Linked DNA regions of Notamacropus eugenii. The protein of the gene in region 1 interacts with the protein of each later gene in a biochemical or structural test. Links are inferred from orthologs where the notes say so. Each region holds a gene or a part of one and is shown in the gene's direction. Other genes may lie near its edges.

Region 1 (7,216 bases):
AGGTTGCATTTTCCTCTATTGAATCAAATATTTTCTTATAATCAATAATAAACATTTATATTATCCTTATGTTTCAAGCATTTGTCTGACTGGAGAGGTGACCTATTCTAGGACAGCTTTCGTGAAAGTTTACCTATCCCCTTCTCTTGTATTTTTTTCAAGACTATTCCTAGGATGGGTAGAGACTATTCTGTTGTTGTTTCCAACTCTTTGTGACCCTGTTTTGGGGTTTTCTTGGCAGAGATACTGGAGTGATTTGCTATTTCCTTCTCCAGCTCATTTTACAGATGAGGAAACTGAGGCAAAGAGGGGGAAGTGACTTGCCCAGGGTCACGCAGCTAGTGAATGTGTGAGGCCAGATCTGAACTCAGGAAGATGTCTTCCTGGCTCCAGGCCCAGCCCTCTAACAGCCTCAGTGGCCCTACTATCTCCGAAGGCTGAGTTATTTGGGAGGTTTTGAGCAGAAGCGGAAGAACAACCTTGATTACGGCTATGTAATTGCTGTAATTGTCATTAATGACTGTCATACTTAACAAGAATATGCAGAAGAATGGACATTGGAAATCTGTGTGTGTTTCTGACGGAGAAATGGGTAAAATTCCTAGATTATTTTTTTAGGTAATGAAACTGAGGCACGTCTGTGGAAGTTAGTTCTGGAACAGCAAAAGGGGAAAAGTTCTATAATAGCAAAAAACAAACAAAACAAAACACCTCCTCACATGCACACACACACACACACAATTAAACTAGGGAAATTTCTGTGAAATTTTAGAATGAAAAAACTTTGGAAGTCATCCCCACTGGTTGGTTCTCAACATCTGTTTCTAGACATCAGAAACAATCATTGTAGTAACTAATTGTAACTGGAGGACTGATTGAAAATGAAACGTTTCCTTCTCAGTAGAGATGTGGTGGATTACATGTGCAGAATATGGCTTACATCGTGAGACATGCCCAATATGTTGATTCGTTTTGCTTCACTGTAACTCTTTGTTACAAAGGAAGGTTGTTTTCAGAACTGAGTGAAGGAACTAAGACTCACTGGAAAGTGGCAAAGCAGAAAACCCTCCATCAATTTTATTTTACTTATTTTTGACATTTTTTTAAACTTTCAGTTCCAAATTTTCTCCCTCCCCCACCCAATGAGAAGGCAAACAATATTATATATTATACATGTGAAGTTCTGCAAAACATTTCCATTTTCGAAAAAAAAAAATCCCCGTGAAATTTAAAAAGAAAGGGAGAAATGTTTTTAAGGTCAATTTTTGCTTCCCATTTCTGTCTTTGGTCTTTCTGAACTCTTTCCCAAACTTCCTGTGTCCCCAGGCACTTTTCTCTCGTTGCTGAATTCTTCATTGCCTAAGAAACAACCGTTTGGAATTGGAGAACATTTTCTCCATGCTCACCCATGAAACACTGGGAACCAGAAGTAGACAGGGAAAGGGAAATGAGCATAGGTGCTCTGGCCCAGTGACAGACTCTGGGTCAGGGATCAGAAGCCCCAGCTTTGGGTCTCAGCTGGGTTATGGTACCTACAGGCTCTACATTTCCATTTCCTCGTCTCTTCAGTGGGTACACCGATCCCTGCACCACCTAGTCACCAGGGTTTCTGTGAGGCTAACATGAACTTCTAGGTCTGGACACACCTTTGGTAAAGGTAAAAAGGGCAGGGTAACAGCAGAAGAAGGCGTTTTCTCTGTCTCCTTCAATGGGCCTCTATCTAGGTGGAAGGAGGCAAGGCAGAATCTTTTGTATAGTGTAGGTGCTAGTAGATGGGCAGACTCAGGGCAAGCATGCTAGTCTGCCATGGAGGGGAGAGACCTCAGTTGGTTCGATAACTTCAGTTTCCTAAATATATCAGAAAATGGGAATCCTTGTATCTGTTTTCTCGATAGGGGAAAGGAAAGAGTGGATTCCTGGAGAGGGCTGGGCTGGGCACCCACAGTTTAGCATCTTTTTCTTGAAGGAAGTCAAGCATTTTCCCAGCCTGATTTACTGTTTTCTTTCTTGTTAAGATGTATATATGGAAACCTGCCCATTTGTAGGTATATGACAGGGCCAGAAGGACCCCATGCGAGTGGGGGGGGGGGGGGAGGGAGAGGGGATTCCTTTTTTGTTTCTCCACACCTGCAATTGCTTCTATTGTAGGAAGCTCCCTCTCTCTGTGCAGATCAGCCCAGTGTCTGTAACTGAGTCTTAATTAAGAAAATTACCTGGGGCATGGCGAGGGTAAGAGACCTGCTGACCGAGTGCATGTCAGCCACTGGGCAGAAGGCTCTTCCCTTTCGGTTATCTCTTGTTCAGGTCTATTCAAAACCAGACTTTCCTAGAGCGAGGGCTGTTAGATATTCTGGTGTCCTTACCCTGGACTTCCTGTCATCACAATGTGAGTATGAACACAAGACACATTTTGAAGGCAATTGTGAAGCATTTCATTCTGAGGGCTTTGTTTGGACACATTTTGATAAGCAAAACTCTTTCCTACTCAAGAAAGGGTCTTCTCCATTGGACTTAAGTCAGCGCTAATGGTTTTTCTTGTTGTTTCATTTGCACATCTCCGAAAGGTCCATTTGGCCTTTTGCAAATTGATACAACTCTCTATAAATGGCTATACCACCAAATCTGGACTATCATGTATTCTTTAACTTAGCAATGAGTCTAAATTTTGTAGCTCTCAACCAAAACAGGCCACTGAGTTCAGATATTCAGATATTTCTTTGCCTGCCTTGGGAGCCCAGACTAAGCCCTGAGCCACAGGAGCTCTCACCCCATTCTCCGTTATTCTCCATGATCTTAGCAGGGGCCCTTGTTGACCACTCAGGAGGGAGTTACACAGGCTAACCCTGCTTTAGGGTGCAAGGCTGCAAGACTGGCAAATGGTGCTTAGACTGAGGTAGACCATGCAGTGTTCATGGTGCCAGTGGTTCTCCAGTTCAGGAAAGGGCTAGTTTAGTGTGAAGAACCCAGCCTGCTTGTAATGAGTTTCAACATAGACTTTCAGGTCCTCCATTCCTAGAACACTTACGCTTGTGGCTGTGGTTGTCGGATTCCAGTATTAAAATGAGGGCTGGAGGAACCCACAAGTCTGTACCCAGGAGGTAGCACTCTGCATATGCTGGTCAGAGAGGAAGCTTAGTTGGAGTGAATTGTCAGGAATCCCACCTTTGACACTCACTGGCTGTGTGGCCCTGGGCAAGTCCCTATCATCTTTCCAAGTCTCATTCCTTTGTTATCAAGGGGAAATAGTAATACATCTGTAGTCCCCTCCTCCCTAGAGGTTGCTTTGGGATCTTAAGACATAAGGGTCCTCACTTTGATTGTTCCTGTATGGGGAGGTCTGTTTTTTTTGTTTACTAAATATCCCAGTTCTTTACCCAGAAGGCAGACCTACCAGGCCTGCTCCTGTGGTTTGTCAAGGCTGAAGAATGAATTGCTTCTGACTCCTTAGGGAGACTACAGGATGCTCTTTGAGTGTAGCCTGGGTTCTACAAGGCCTTCGCTCCTTGGCATTGAGGTATTCTGTTTGGTTTTGGTCGCTGTTGCCTGGCGTGTTTGTGTAGGGTGAGTAGGGGGACAAGTCTAGGGAGCAAGACTGGTCCCAGGCCTTGGGAGAAGAACATGGCCAAACAAAATCCTGCCTGGGCAGGTGGTGTCACAAATCCACCCATACTGAAGTGGAGCAGGGATCTCCTGGCCTGCTGCTGGGACAGTCTCCGAGGAGCAGGGCTGGGGGCTGGAGGGGGCTCACTGGCACGCTCTGGGGGAGCCCTAGGGCCTGCAGTGGCAGTGACTGTCCCCTGGATTGGGGGCTGGAAGAAGGGGCGAGGGCCTTGGCCCGACAGCTGGGAGCCTTGTGCCTCGGTAGGCAGCCGCATTTTAGACTGTCACTTGTTTGTCCTAGCAGACCGAGTGGGCACGTATCCCCAAAAGATGTATTCGATTCCCCGTCGAAGCCGGCGCACACACGGGCCACACCGGAACACGAACACACGGACACACACAGGCACACACGCCCTCATTAGAAATCCAGCCTGCCCGAGCCGTCGGGAGGGCAGGGCAAGGGCGGAGCCAGCTCGAAGCCGGGAGGGGGGAGGCCCGGGGCTTCTCCAATCGCGAGCCGGAGCGCGGGGGGTGGAGGTGGGGCCTCCCCGAGAGTTAAGGGGCGGAGTCACCGGCTCCCTTTAAATAAGCGGCCCCGCCCCGCTCCCTGGAAAGTCGTGTCCCTTTCCGCCTGCTTCGGTTGCGCGAGCCGAGCCACTGGCGGCTAGCGGTAGCCGGGACCTGGGCGAGAGACGGGACCCACAGAGATACAGAAACCGAGAGCCAGAGGGAAAGCCCGACCCGCTGATCTCCGGCCCCTGCCGAAGTCCCACCGCTCCCCGCATCTCCAGCCAGGTGATTCCGCGGCTCCTCCGCCCCACTCTCAGAGGCTCCATCCCGGCTTGGCCCCGGGCCCCTGCCCAGGCTGGCCTGCCCTCCCCTTCCGCTCCCGCTGCTCCCGGCTCAGCTCCGCTCTCTCCGCCCTTTTCCTCCGCTCGCCCTCGGGCTTGTTCCCTCCTGCCCCTTCTTTCTCCACCCTCTGTCCTTCCCACTCTTTTCTCCCCGGAGCTTTTGACTCCTTGGTCTCTCCACTCAAACCCGCCCCGACCGTCGGGGTCAGTTGGAAATCCAGCTGTGCCATTTAACCGGCTCTGAGTCCTTAGATAAGTCACTCCCTTTCCCCTGCCTCAGTTTCCTTGTCTGTACAATGAGGGAAGATTGGAGTAGGTGGCCTCTAAGGTCCCTTCCAGGTCTAGAGCTACAGTCCTGTGATGCTCACTCTGCCGGGAGGGAGCACCCCCTTGCCCCTTCCTGACTGGTGCCTTCCCGTTCCTAGACTTCCCCTGGCGCATTTTACTTCCCCCAGCTCCCTGTCCCTTTCCAAGTTTCCCTGCTTCAGCTCATCTTTCCCTCTTCCCCCTTCCGGGCTCTCTTGGGTGCTCTGGGCCCCACCCCTCAGGTCTCCTGTCAGAATACTGTCTCCCTGTGCGCTTTGAGGGGAAAGGGAGCATGAACCAGCATCCCACCTTGGCTGAGGGTAGCCTTTCCTTTCCCTTCAGCACAGATTGGCCTGAGGTTGTGCCTCGCAGATCCCCTCTGGATCGTTGGACCGTCAGGAGGACCTTAGAGGCTGATCTACGGCATCTCCTCTTCCTTCCCTTACCCCTGCCAAGGTAAAGTTCGGAGGCTTTTTGTGTAGCAGGATGGTCCAAGGCAGTGTCCGTTCCTCCTGGGGCTGAAGGTCTGCTGCTAAGAAATATTTAGGGAGAGGTCTGCAGGCTGGCTTGGAGGACTGAGGTCATTTTCCTTGGTCCTCCAGACCAGACAGTATAAGCCTGAAACATCACTCTGGGAAAAAGAGGCACAGAGCATTAACAGTCGTAACTGGGAGCGTTTTTAGCCACTGGGGGGGATTCCTTCCCGCCAAGGAAGGGCTAAATCCTCAGAACCCCAACCTACCCACCTAACCCAAGCACCACGAGATGCATTGGGAGATTCTTGGGAAAGATATGTTTTCCAATAGAAAAAGCTCCCAGACTTCTGTTGTTTAATGAGATGATTGCCTTTCATAGCATCTAGCCCTAGTTGAATAAATATGTGGGCTCAGTAAAACCAATTACGGTGACTTGAATAGCCTTTAAAAAAAAATCAGGTATCAGAAGAAGGAAAGATGGCATTAGCCCTGGTGTAGTAAATGTGGATTTGAGAGCCTGCTGATCTGGGGAAAGAGGGGCCAGACCTTTAATTTAATGAATGTACCCAACTCCCCATGAGAGGAAACTCTACTGTAGGCAGATGAGATGTGAGGGTGGGGCTCAGAGCACCTAAGGGAACCCTGAAGGGGGAAAGGGGAAAGATGAACTGAACCAGGGAACCTTGGAAAGAGAGAGGGGAGAAAAGCAAAATCCCCCTGCTCTGCCACTCAGAACCTTAGAGAGCTAACTGCCCAGGGTCACACAGCCAGTATATCTCCGAGGCAGTACTTGGACCCAGGTCTTCCAGATTCAAGGCTGGAAGTGGGGAACACTCAGAACCATCAGTCATGAAGAACATTTCATGCTCTGCTTCCTCCCCATCAGGAAGGAGGAAGGGGAAGAGATCTCATGCTTTGTCCTCTTCCATCAATGTGTCTCTTAACTTTGCTTTAACTGTTTTTTCTTTTGTTTCAAGTGAGTATTTATGGGAAGTGGGAATGGAAGTGGGGTTTATATCCCGGGATGACTTCATTGTATATGGAAAGCATCAATGAAATGACAAAAACCCAAACCTGAAGAAGGATCCAAGCTGCACGAAAGCCTCGTTCTTCTCTGAGGGCGTTGTTATGCTCCTGAGCAGGGTGATTTCCTATTAGACTATCAGCAGGACATTTGTCGGTCTTTTATGATATCTGGGTAAGCAAGATGAAGGAACAGTAGGTGGGATCTGTAATTATTTGGCACTCTATTGAAAAACTGGAGAGAAGTATTTAGTGGTGTGCCATCAGGCTCTGCCCTTTGCTCACTTCTGTTCAGTTTTATTAATGGCTTGGAGGAAGAAGAATAATCACAAAGTGTTTTGTAGGCTGTACTGTTTGTTACTCACAACAACCCAGTGAAGTAAGGAGGGAAACAAGCATTTAGTCAGTGCCTGTACTTTACAAATGTTATCTCATTTAGTCTTCACAGCAACCCTGGGAGGTAGGTGCCATTATGTCCCCAGTTTAGAGTTGAGGAAACTGAAGCAGATGGGTGAAATGACTCTCTCAGGTTCCCTTAGCCAGTAAATGTCTGAAGTTGGATTTGAGTTCAGGTCTTCCTGACTCCAGGCTTTCTCCACCATGCCACCTAACTGCCTTCTAAACAGTGCTCTTATTCTCCTCATTTTACAGATAAGGATGCTAGCGCTAGGAGGTGAGATGACTTTCCCAGAGTTGCACAGCTAAGATGGGATTTGAACTGTGGTGCTCTTGCCCCTAGGTCCAGCCTTCCAACTGCCTCTTCTGAAAATCAGGATTGCATTTTCTTTTTTTAAAATTAATTAATTTTATTTATTTTCAGTGTTCTACAATCACTACCATAAACCCAGATTTTTTTCCCCTCTCTCCCCCTCACCTCTCCCCTTCCTCCCTGAGAAGGCATACAACTTTATATAGGTTCTACACATACATTCCTGTTAAATACATTTTCACTATAGTCAT
Region 2 (7,525 bases), on another chromosome or scaffold:
TGGGCAACTGCCTGGTACAGAAGCTTCCACACTTAGCTTGAAAAGATTCAGATGCATATGAACTGACCAGAAGCTTGTCATTGATCTAATTTCCTCCCCAACCTTCACCTTCTCTGTCTTCAGTCTGGTATAGTGGAAAGTACTAAGAGTTCGACTGGCAGATATAGTTGGACACCTGGTAGGTTCAAAGCAAAGCTTTGTATGCAGGAAAAGTGATACAGTACACATTATAATGAGTAGTAAAAATATGTAGCACTATCTTTCCATGTAACTCAACACTGATCCCCAAATCATAAACCAATTTGTATCAAAAAGTAGAGTAGGGAAAGAAAAGAGGAAAGCTATAATTCAAAAAATACTTAAAAAAATTAATTATCATTTACCCAATACCAGTTTTCAAGGCTTAGTATTTTGATAGCTTTTGTGCAACCTTTAAAATGCAAAGAACTGTTTTCCCTGCTGAATGAATATAGGAAATTAGTAAGGTCTAATTTCAGTTGTCTATAATGAGCATGTATAATTAAGATCTATAAATAATTATAAAAAATATACTACGATATGACTGGTCAACAAATATTCTGATTTCAAATCCTGGTTCAACTAGTACAATGCAGGAAAATGTCATATTTGAATAGTTGCTAGTGTTGCCTACATTGTAAATGATGACACCACTTACCTATAAAGCTGAAATGATTGTTTTGATAGAACTCCATATTACATGTTCTATATGCAGAAACTTCACAGAAAAGATTGTTTCAACTACATGTTTGTTATTGGGTTTAAATAAGAAGCTATTAAGGAAAAAGCAACTCTGAAAGTCTTCTCTGAAAAAAGAACAGTAGTATCTGCTTTAGTTCCATAGTCAGAATATGTCTCTAGGAGAAATTTATAGCATTGTTTGCATAAGTAATTATGCTAGATTGACAGAATATTAGTATATTCTGTCAGTCTAACTTATTGAGAATTGTAGAAATAACTTTTGGGTTGTTGCCTGGAGTTATTATCGAGAAATCACAGTTTACTTCTAAAGCCAAAATGGATGTTAGCTACAAATTGCATAAAAAACCATCAAAATTTTCATGGAAGTAAAACAGTCATCAATGCTTTGGTGCCAAAACACTAGATACCAAAAAAACCTGGGAACAAATGAGATGATAAATGGGAAGGTGTTACAAGAAGTAGAAAACTCTAGACAAATTGTTCCCAAGTTACAACTTTGGGTTGTATTCCAGTACTTGGTTGACACTCAGCTTTTTTTCTCATTTAGACTTTTACAAATTTTTAATAGATTCCTAGGCTAGCCCACAAAAGCCTCTTTAATAAGAAAAAAGTGACAAAGCAAGCCAAGACAGGGTCCCTGAGCTCTGTCTTTTTATTTATGTGGTATTTTAAATCTTATTTACCTTTCCTGTTGAGGGAACAGGAGGACCATCATGGCCATTTATCTACACCCTGTTTGATTAAGCTCTGGTTTAGAGACTAGGTCAAGGAACAGAGGTTCCTTTGCTATAATAAGACCAGTGCAGACTAGTTTACCAGCTCACCGTGGTGTTGGCCTATGACCCTCGGAGACTGTGCCCCTGCCCAGTCTCTAGTATCTTAGATCAGGGTTGGGGATTCAGTTAAAGAACTTTACTTGAGGACCTAGACGGGCACATATAGCCTCTAGGCCGCAGGTTCCCCACTGCTGCCTTGGGTAGCAACAGTGAAGTACATCCATGAAAACAGTTGTTGCTACCTGGTGGCTGGAGTTGATATTCTGTTCCATGGAGCACTGCCATGGCTGTTCACATGGAAGGGACCTTGTAAACCAGGGGTTTGTAAACTAAGGCATTGCTGCTTTATAAACACTAAATAACCATCAAACAGGGGATATGGAATAATTAATAAGAGATGAGTTGGGGCAGCTAGATTGAGCAGTGGCAGCAGAGAGGGCAACATGAGATGGAATACTAGGTGTATCTAAACTACACGTGTACTAAATGTAGCTAAACTTTTATTTTATCCCAAAAAGTGCAGTTCCAGATTGTTCTCCAAAGGGAGGAATTTATTCAGCATGGACACTTATACAAGGTAGAGACTAATTTCAGGCATATGGGGAGGAGGTACCTAAAATTTAAGAAAATTGCTAATAGTTGTACAAAAACTAGGCTTCCCTGTGAGAAAGTTCATTGCCAGTTATTGAATTTGAGTTAGGGCCATATGTTCACTTTGCCTTTTTACCTCTGTGGTTGAGCCTATGTGGTTGTGTTGTTAAGTAGGTGTGTATACAATGCAACCTGAAACACTAAAATAGTGCTGCTTGAACCAGCTTAAAATATAACTGGGAAATAGTTAACAAAGACAATAGGACAGTTAATATTTTTTTACATACTTGTCAGTCAATACACGGCCCACAGGGATCCTTACGTACAGTATAATAGTTTGATTCCACTGATGTAGAGTGTATCCAAAGCTGAACTAAATGACTGTTAACATACCTTCTAATTCTAGGAGTGAGGAGAGGATAGACAGAGGCCCCTGATTCACAGCTCCAGCGTTTGCTAGGAATTGGAAGAGATATCTCATTCTTCGCAATGCTTTCTGGTTCCTGGAAGGTACCAGAGTCCTGTCCTCGGAGCTTACAGTTTAATTGGGGAATGCAGATACACAAGCACTCATGAACTCAAAAGATAACTTAACAATATAGGGTAGTATATTGGTATTAGATGACTGATAACAGTTTTAGAGTACCTCCTTTTCTATTTCATTTTTAATAAACCAATGGTATTCACTCTCCCACTTCTAGTAATGACTACGGCCTCCCATATCCTAAAGACTTTGATTTTTTTAATGATTAAATTCAGTTAAACGATTTACTTAAATGTGCAAGTTACTGCATGGGTAGGGGGAGATGGTTCTTGTCCTCAAAGTGCTTATGTTCTAATGGAGGAAGACAATACATCGGAGACTGATGACTGGGGATGGTGTTTTGATTAGGGGAATCCCTAATCAATAGTCCTGAACTGGTTTCCATTGTTAGCAGTGGAAAGCAGAGATGGGCAAATGGTGCAAGGTGAAGGTATGGCGCATGAAGGTGGCTGTGGAGCAGCACTGTGCTGGGCCCAGGTCCAACTGGTCTCTCAGTCAGAAGCCCAGGATCTTATGATAGGAATTGGAAGGCCTAGTCAAATGTAGATAAGAAAAAGGAGAGTTCTGAAAGGTCAAGAGTAGGAAGTGTCTCTAGTTAGAACCCACACAATCCTGGAAGGCTGCTTAAGTTTTCTGAGAGCTTTCTAAGATTTACTTGCACCTGCAGACATGGTTCACTCAGTTACTAGCTGGGGTTGGCTTCCTGTACAACTTCTCAGCCCCTTTACTTAAACCTTCTGCAAAGGCAGTGTGGTTTGGGTTTGGATCCACCTCCCAGACATCCCAGACTTTCCTTCAGTTTACACCATTTCCCATGGAGGTGACTGTGGGAGAACCTGTGGTTTGGTCAGAGAATGAATCGTCAAGAATGGATTTATTCAAAATGCAGAGCCTCTGGGATATTCTTTGGTCTTTTCAGATGTCTTTATGTACTGGTGAAGGGCTTTCTCAGCAATAATTTACTAGTGGTGAGTGGTTTTATGAGCTGCAATCCAGCACCTACTGGTTTGATACCACCAGTACCAGCAATGAACAAGAGGGTGTCTTTGGATAGGAACCCAGCAGTCCAGCTGTTTCAATAATCACAGGGCTCAGGTTTAGAGAAACAAAACTGAAATAAGAGTGAAACACTGGGTGGCAGCAAAGGCTTACGGATTTCATCAAGTTGGTGCTGTCTCATTTTGTTATACAATCAGGCCATGCATCCTGTTTCTCTCACAGTTGAAGCTGCCTTTAAACTGACTTAGCCCACACCAGGAAGAACTACATTTAGGACCAGCGTGGTTGTGCTCATCTTTCTCTTCCTGACTTTTCTACGTCCTTTGCCACCTTTGACCCTTTCACAGCGGAATGCCATTGCCTCTCTTTTGCAAGAAGAAAAGGTCTTGAGTAATTTTGACAAAAGTCAGAAGTTTGAGACCATGAAAGAATGAGAGGGACGTCGCTATCCACTGTGCTTAGTGAGCATGTACGTTCTGAACGGAAATCCTAGGTGGGGACCCATAGGAGGTGACAGGCAAGGGGCTGTTCCCCAAAGACAGCCAGAGTCAGGGTTCAGGCCAGTCGCGCTCAGGCAGCAGGGTGTGACACACTGGGCCGTGCCGTTGGACAGTGGCTCTTGGGAAGGCACATGCAGGTTTAATCAGGAGTGATTACACAAAGTGCCCCAGTGCGACTCAAGTGGGTCATTGCATGTTCACATCCTTCCATCCTTCTGCGCACCTAAACGTACCCTCATTTCTCCTCAACCCAGCATTAACCCTTTCCTTCACCCCAGCTGGTCCTGCAGCCAAGGCCGGGAAGACCTTGACAAAGCCCAGGAATCCCAGCTCGGGGCTCCCCTCTTCCCACTGGCCCACCCCCTCCCCTCCCGAGCTCCAGCTGCGGGGCGGGGTCCTCTCTCTAGCCTCTCCTACTCTCCCCGCGGGGTACCAGGCAGCAGGTGCGGTGGCTCGGGGCTCCATCCATCCCTCCTTCCCCAAGAGGAGCCACCCAACTTCCCACCTGGGTAGAGGGGCCGAAGACCTCGGTGGGGAGGTACCCTGCGGGCCAGGAGGAGGAAGAGGGAGGTGTAGGAAAGAAAGGAGGACCCGCCCCCACCTCTCAGCTCCTTTACGGGAAGTGATGTGGGGCCGGACGGAACAGACCCGCCGGGGACCCAAAAAAGGGCAGGCGGCGGAGTGGGCGCTGAGCGCACTGAGCGTGGACCCGCAGCTGCTTCGGGCACGGGACCCGCGGACAGGTAAGGGCCAGGCGGGCGTCTCCTTAGAGATCCGCCCAGGGAGTGGGGCTGGGCGTCGGAGGCTGTGAGGGGCATCTGGCTGGTGCGCTTCCAGGGAGGCGGTGCCCATTTTTCACGGGTGACTGCGGATTGTGGTGGATAGTGCCATAGGATCCGCCAGTGTTCTGCCTTGGACTGGGGAGGTCGGACTAGGGGGGCATGGGGGTGGGCAAAGGTGCCCTGCTTCACCCCTAGACCCCAGCCCTGAGGCTTCCCGGGACTGAGCCTGGAGCTAAATCCCCAAGGACAGACCCTGAGGGATGACACCTTTTTAGGGGAGGCGATCTAGGGTCGGCCGGAAGACTAAGGCATGGATTCCAGATTGAGGAGCTTGGTTGGTGTGGCTGGAGACTTGGCTGGGTAGGGAAGATTGGAGGGCAGAACTTAAGACCTACCCTGGGCTATGTATCCAGATGTTGGGAAAGGAGAGAAGGAACTTAGAAATGTACAGGAAGGAAGAAGGAAAGCCCGGAGATTTGCTTTCTTCAAGACATCTTATTTTGCTTTTCATTTTATTTCTTTACCACCTGTAGAGCCCAGTTGGCGGAGTTTGGCCCTAGGCAAACCAGGGATCTCATTCTTTCAGTCAGCTTCCCTGCAACTGGGTTTATCCACACTTGGGCTTTGAGGTTGTGCAGATGTCTGGAATCATCTTTTAAGGCCAAAACACTTGTTCTGAGAATCCCAATAAGTCAGTGGTGTGTGTGTGTGTGTGTGTGTGTGTGTGTGTGTGTGTGTGTGTGTGTGTGTGTGTGTGTGTGTGTGTGTGTGTGTGTGTGTGTGTGTGTGTGTGCGCGTGTGTGTGCGCGTGTGTGTTCCAGAGTGTCACAGCTCTCCTCTCTCTGTTCGACTTGAAAGAGGAGGATGGTAGTGGGGATCTAAGCCCTTTGGTGGTTCATGGCCTGTTCAGTGGTCTCTCTTTCCATTACTATTCATATGCTGTGCTGTTCAGAGCATCAAGGTGCTTTTCATTGTGAATAAAATAAGAAGAATTAGATAAGAAATACTAGAGTGAACTTCTGTTGGCGGGTAGCAAGGTGTGTAGGAAAAAAAATCATATTTGGGATCAGGAGACTTGGACTCCAATCCCAACTCCCAAAACCACTTTATGTTTTTGGCCCTCAGTTCCCTCTCCTAAAACAAGGATACAGGATTTTTACTGATCTACTCGCAAGGTTCTTTTGAGGAAAGCACCTTATAAACACTAATGGAAAATTATTTTTTGTCTTACTCTTCCCCCTTTTTGTATGACATGTTCTCTTATTAAACTTTAGTTCCCTGGGAGAAAATGTCTATTCTATCTAAATTTTATTTTATCTTTCCCAGAAATATAATAGTGATCTGGTCAGTAGGAGCTTAATAAAGGTTTATTGAGCTGAATTAACCTTTCTCCCTTGGTCTCCCACTGTTCTTGCTCCTTGGCATCCTGGGAAACTTTAGGTTCTCAAACTTGTACCTTGCAAAACAAAATTCACCTCTGAAAACAGACCACTGGAACCAAGAGAAATTTTGCGTTTGGTTTGAAATTAGGAGTCATCGTTAATATTTAAGTAGCCAGAGCCTCAGCTTATAAACAAACAATGAGCTGATCTAAGTATGGAGACTAGGCTGTTTGCTTACAAAGCATGTCTTAGTTTAGTGGGAACAGCCTTCTTGTGCCCAGAAAACTTATAATGTATACAGAAGAAAAATATAAGACAGGGAAAATGGAGATCATGGTGTGTAGTTCCTTTTTTTTAAACCAACCCTTTTTTTGTAAACTAAGCAATCATCAACAAACACAAGTATTTCAACACATAAACATAAAAAGTTTTGTCCATTTTAAAAAGGATGACAGATACAGTCATGACTACTACCTACTTTCTTGATCCTCTACCTGGATCTCTACCAAAGGAGGGATAAGGGAAGAGGAAGAAAGGAAGGTATTTTTTTCTGGAGCGGTGGAGTTTGTCTGTGAGAGAGAATGACAAAAGTATGCACCTCTTCCCCTACAGTGACCAGATTGGGCAGGGTAGGCCAGAGCAGAGGAGGGTTGGACAGCTTTGTGTGCTCCAATGGATGCATCCTTCTATGTGGTGCTTGAATACTGGGCATGAAAAGATTAAACCTGCTCTTTACTGCCCATCGTCTCCATTTCTTCCTCAGTGGCAGTGAATCTTTTTGAAACATCAATCTTTATTTTTTACTCAGGATTTTGAAGCCAAGTTTCTTTTACGGTGTATAAGATGAACTCTTCTCTTCTGAACTCCTATAGCACTTCCTCTCTGCATCTCTCCTTGTTGGAATTTGTGGTTTTGAAGATAATCCTCTTTGTGATTTCACCTTATCAAGGAAGACAGATCATGTGTAGCCTCATGAAATGGGAGGGAAAGCTCCCCCATCCCACCCTTAACATAATGCGTTCTTTTTATTTATAATGAAAGAGACACTATCATAGGTTTGGTGCAGTAATACTGAAAAGACTAAAAGTTAAGACAATGTTTTAAGACTTGGGGCAGCTAGGTGGCTCAGTGGATAGGGTGCCTGACCTGAGTCAGGAAGACTTGAGTTCAAATTTGGCCTCAGACACACACTAGCTGCGTGATCCTGGGCAAATCACTTAACCCCGTTTGC

What was found. The genes of interacting proteins can lie anywhere in the genome.
Region 2: the proteins of SYTL4 (region 1) and RAB27A form a complex in vitro, tested with the Homo sapiens proteins (2 studies listed by BioGRID). The link is inferred for Notamacropus eugenii from reciprocal best matches to the Homo sapiens genes SYTL4 and RAB27A.

The regions. Positions count from the first base shown.
Region 1 is NC_092879.1:92,448,941-92,456,156, reverse strand, and holds the start of SYTL4 (synaptotagmin-like protein 4), read left to right. Parts: upstream 1-4,207; 5' UTR 4,208-4,395; intron 4,396-5,099; exon of another isoform or gene 5,100-5,104; 5' UTR 5,105-5,213; intron 5,214-6,210; 5' UTR 6,211-7,216. UniProt on the Homo sapiens protein: Modulates exocytosis of dense-core granules and secretion of hormones in the pancreas and the pituitary. Interacts with vesicles containing negatively charged phospholipids in a Ca(2+)-independent manner.
Region 2 is NC_092872.1:141,477,298-141,484,822, forward strand, and holds the start of RAB27A (ras-related protein Rab-27A), read left to right. Parts: upstream 1-4,524; 5' UTR 4,525-4,873; intron 4,874-7,525. UniProt on the Homo sapiens protein: Small GTPase which cycles between active GTP-bound and inactive GDP-bound states. In its active state, binds to a variety of effector proteins to regulate homeostasis of late endocytic pathway, including endosomal positioning, maturation and secretion.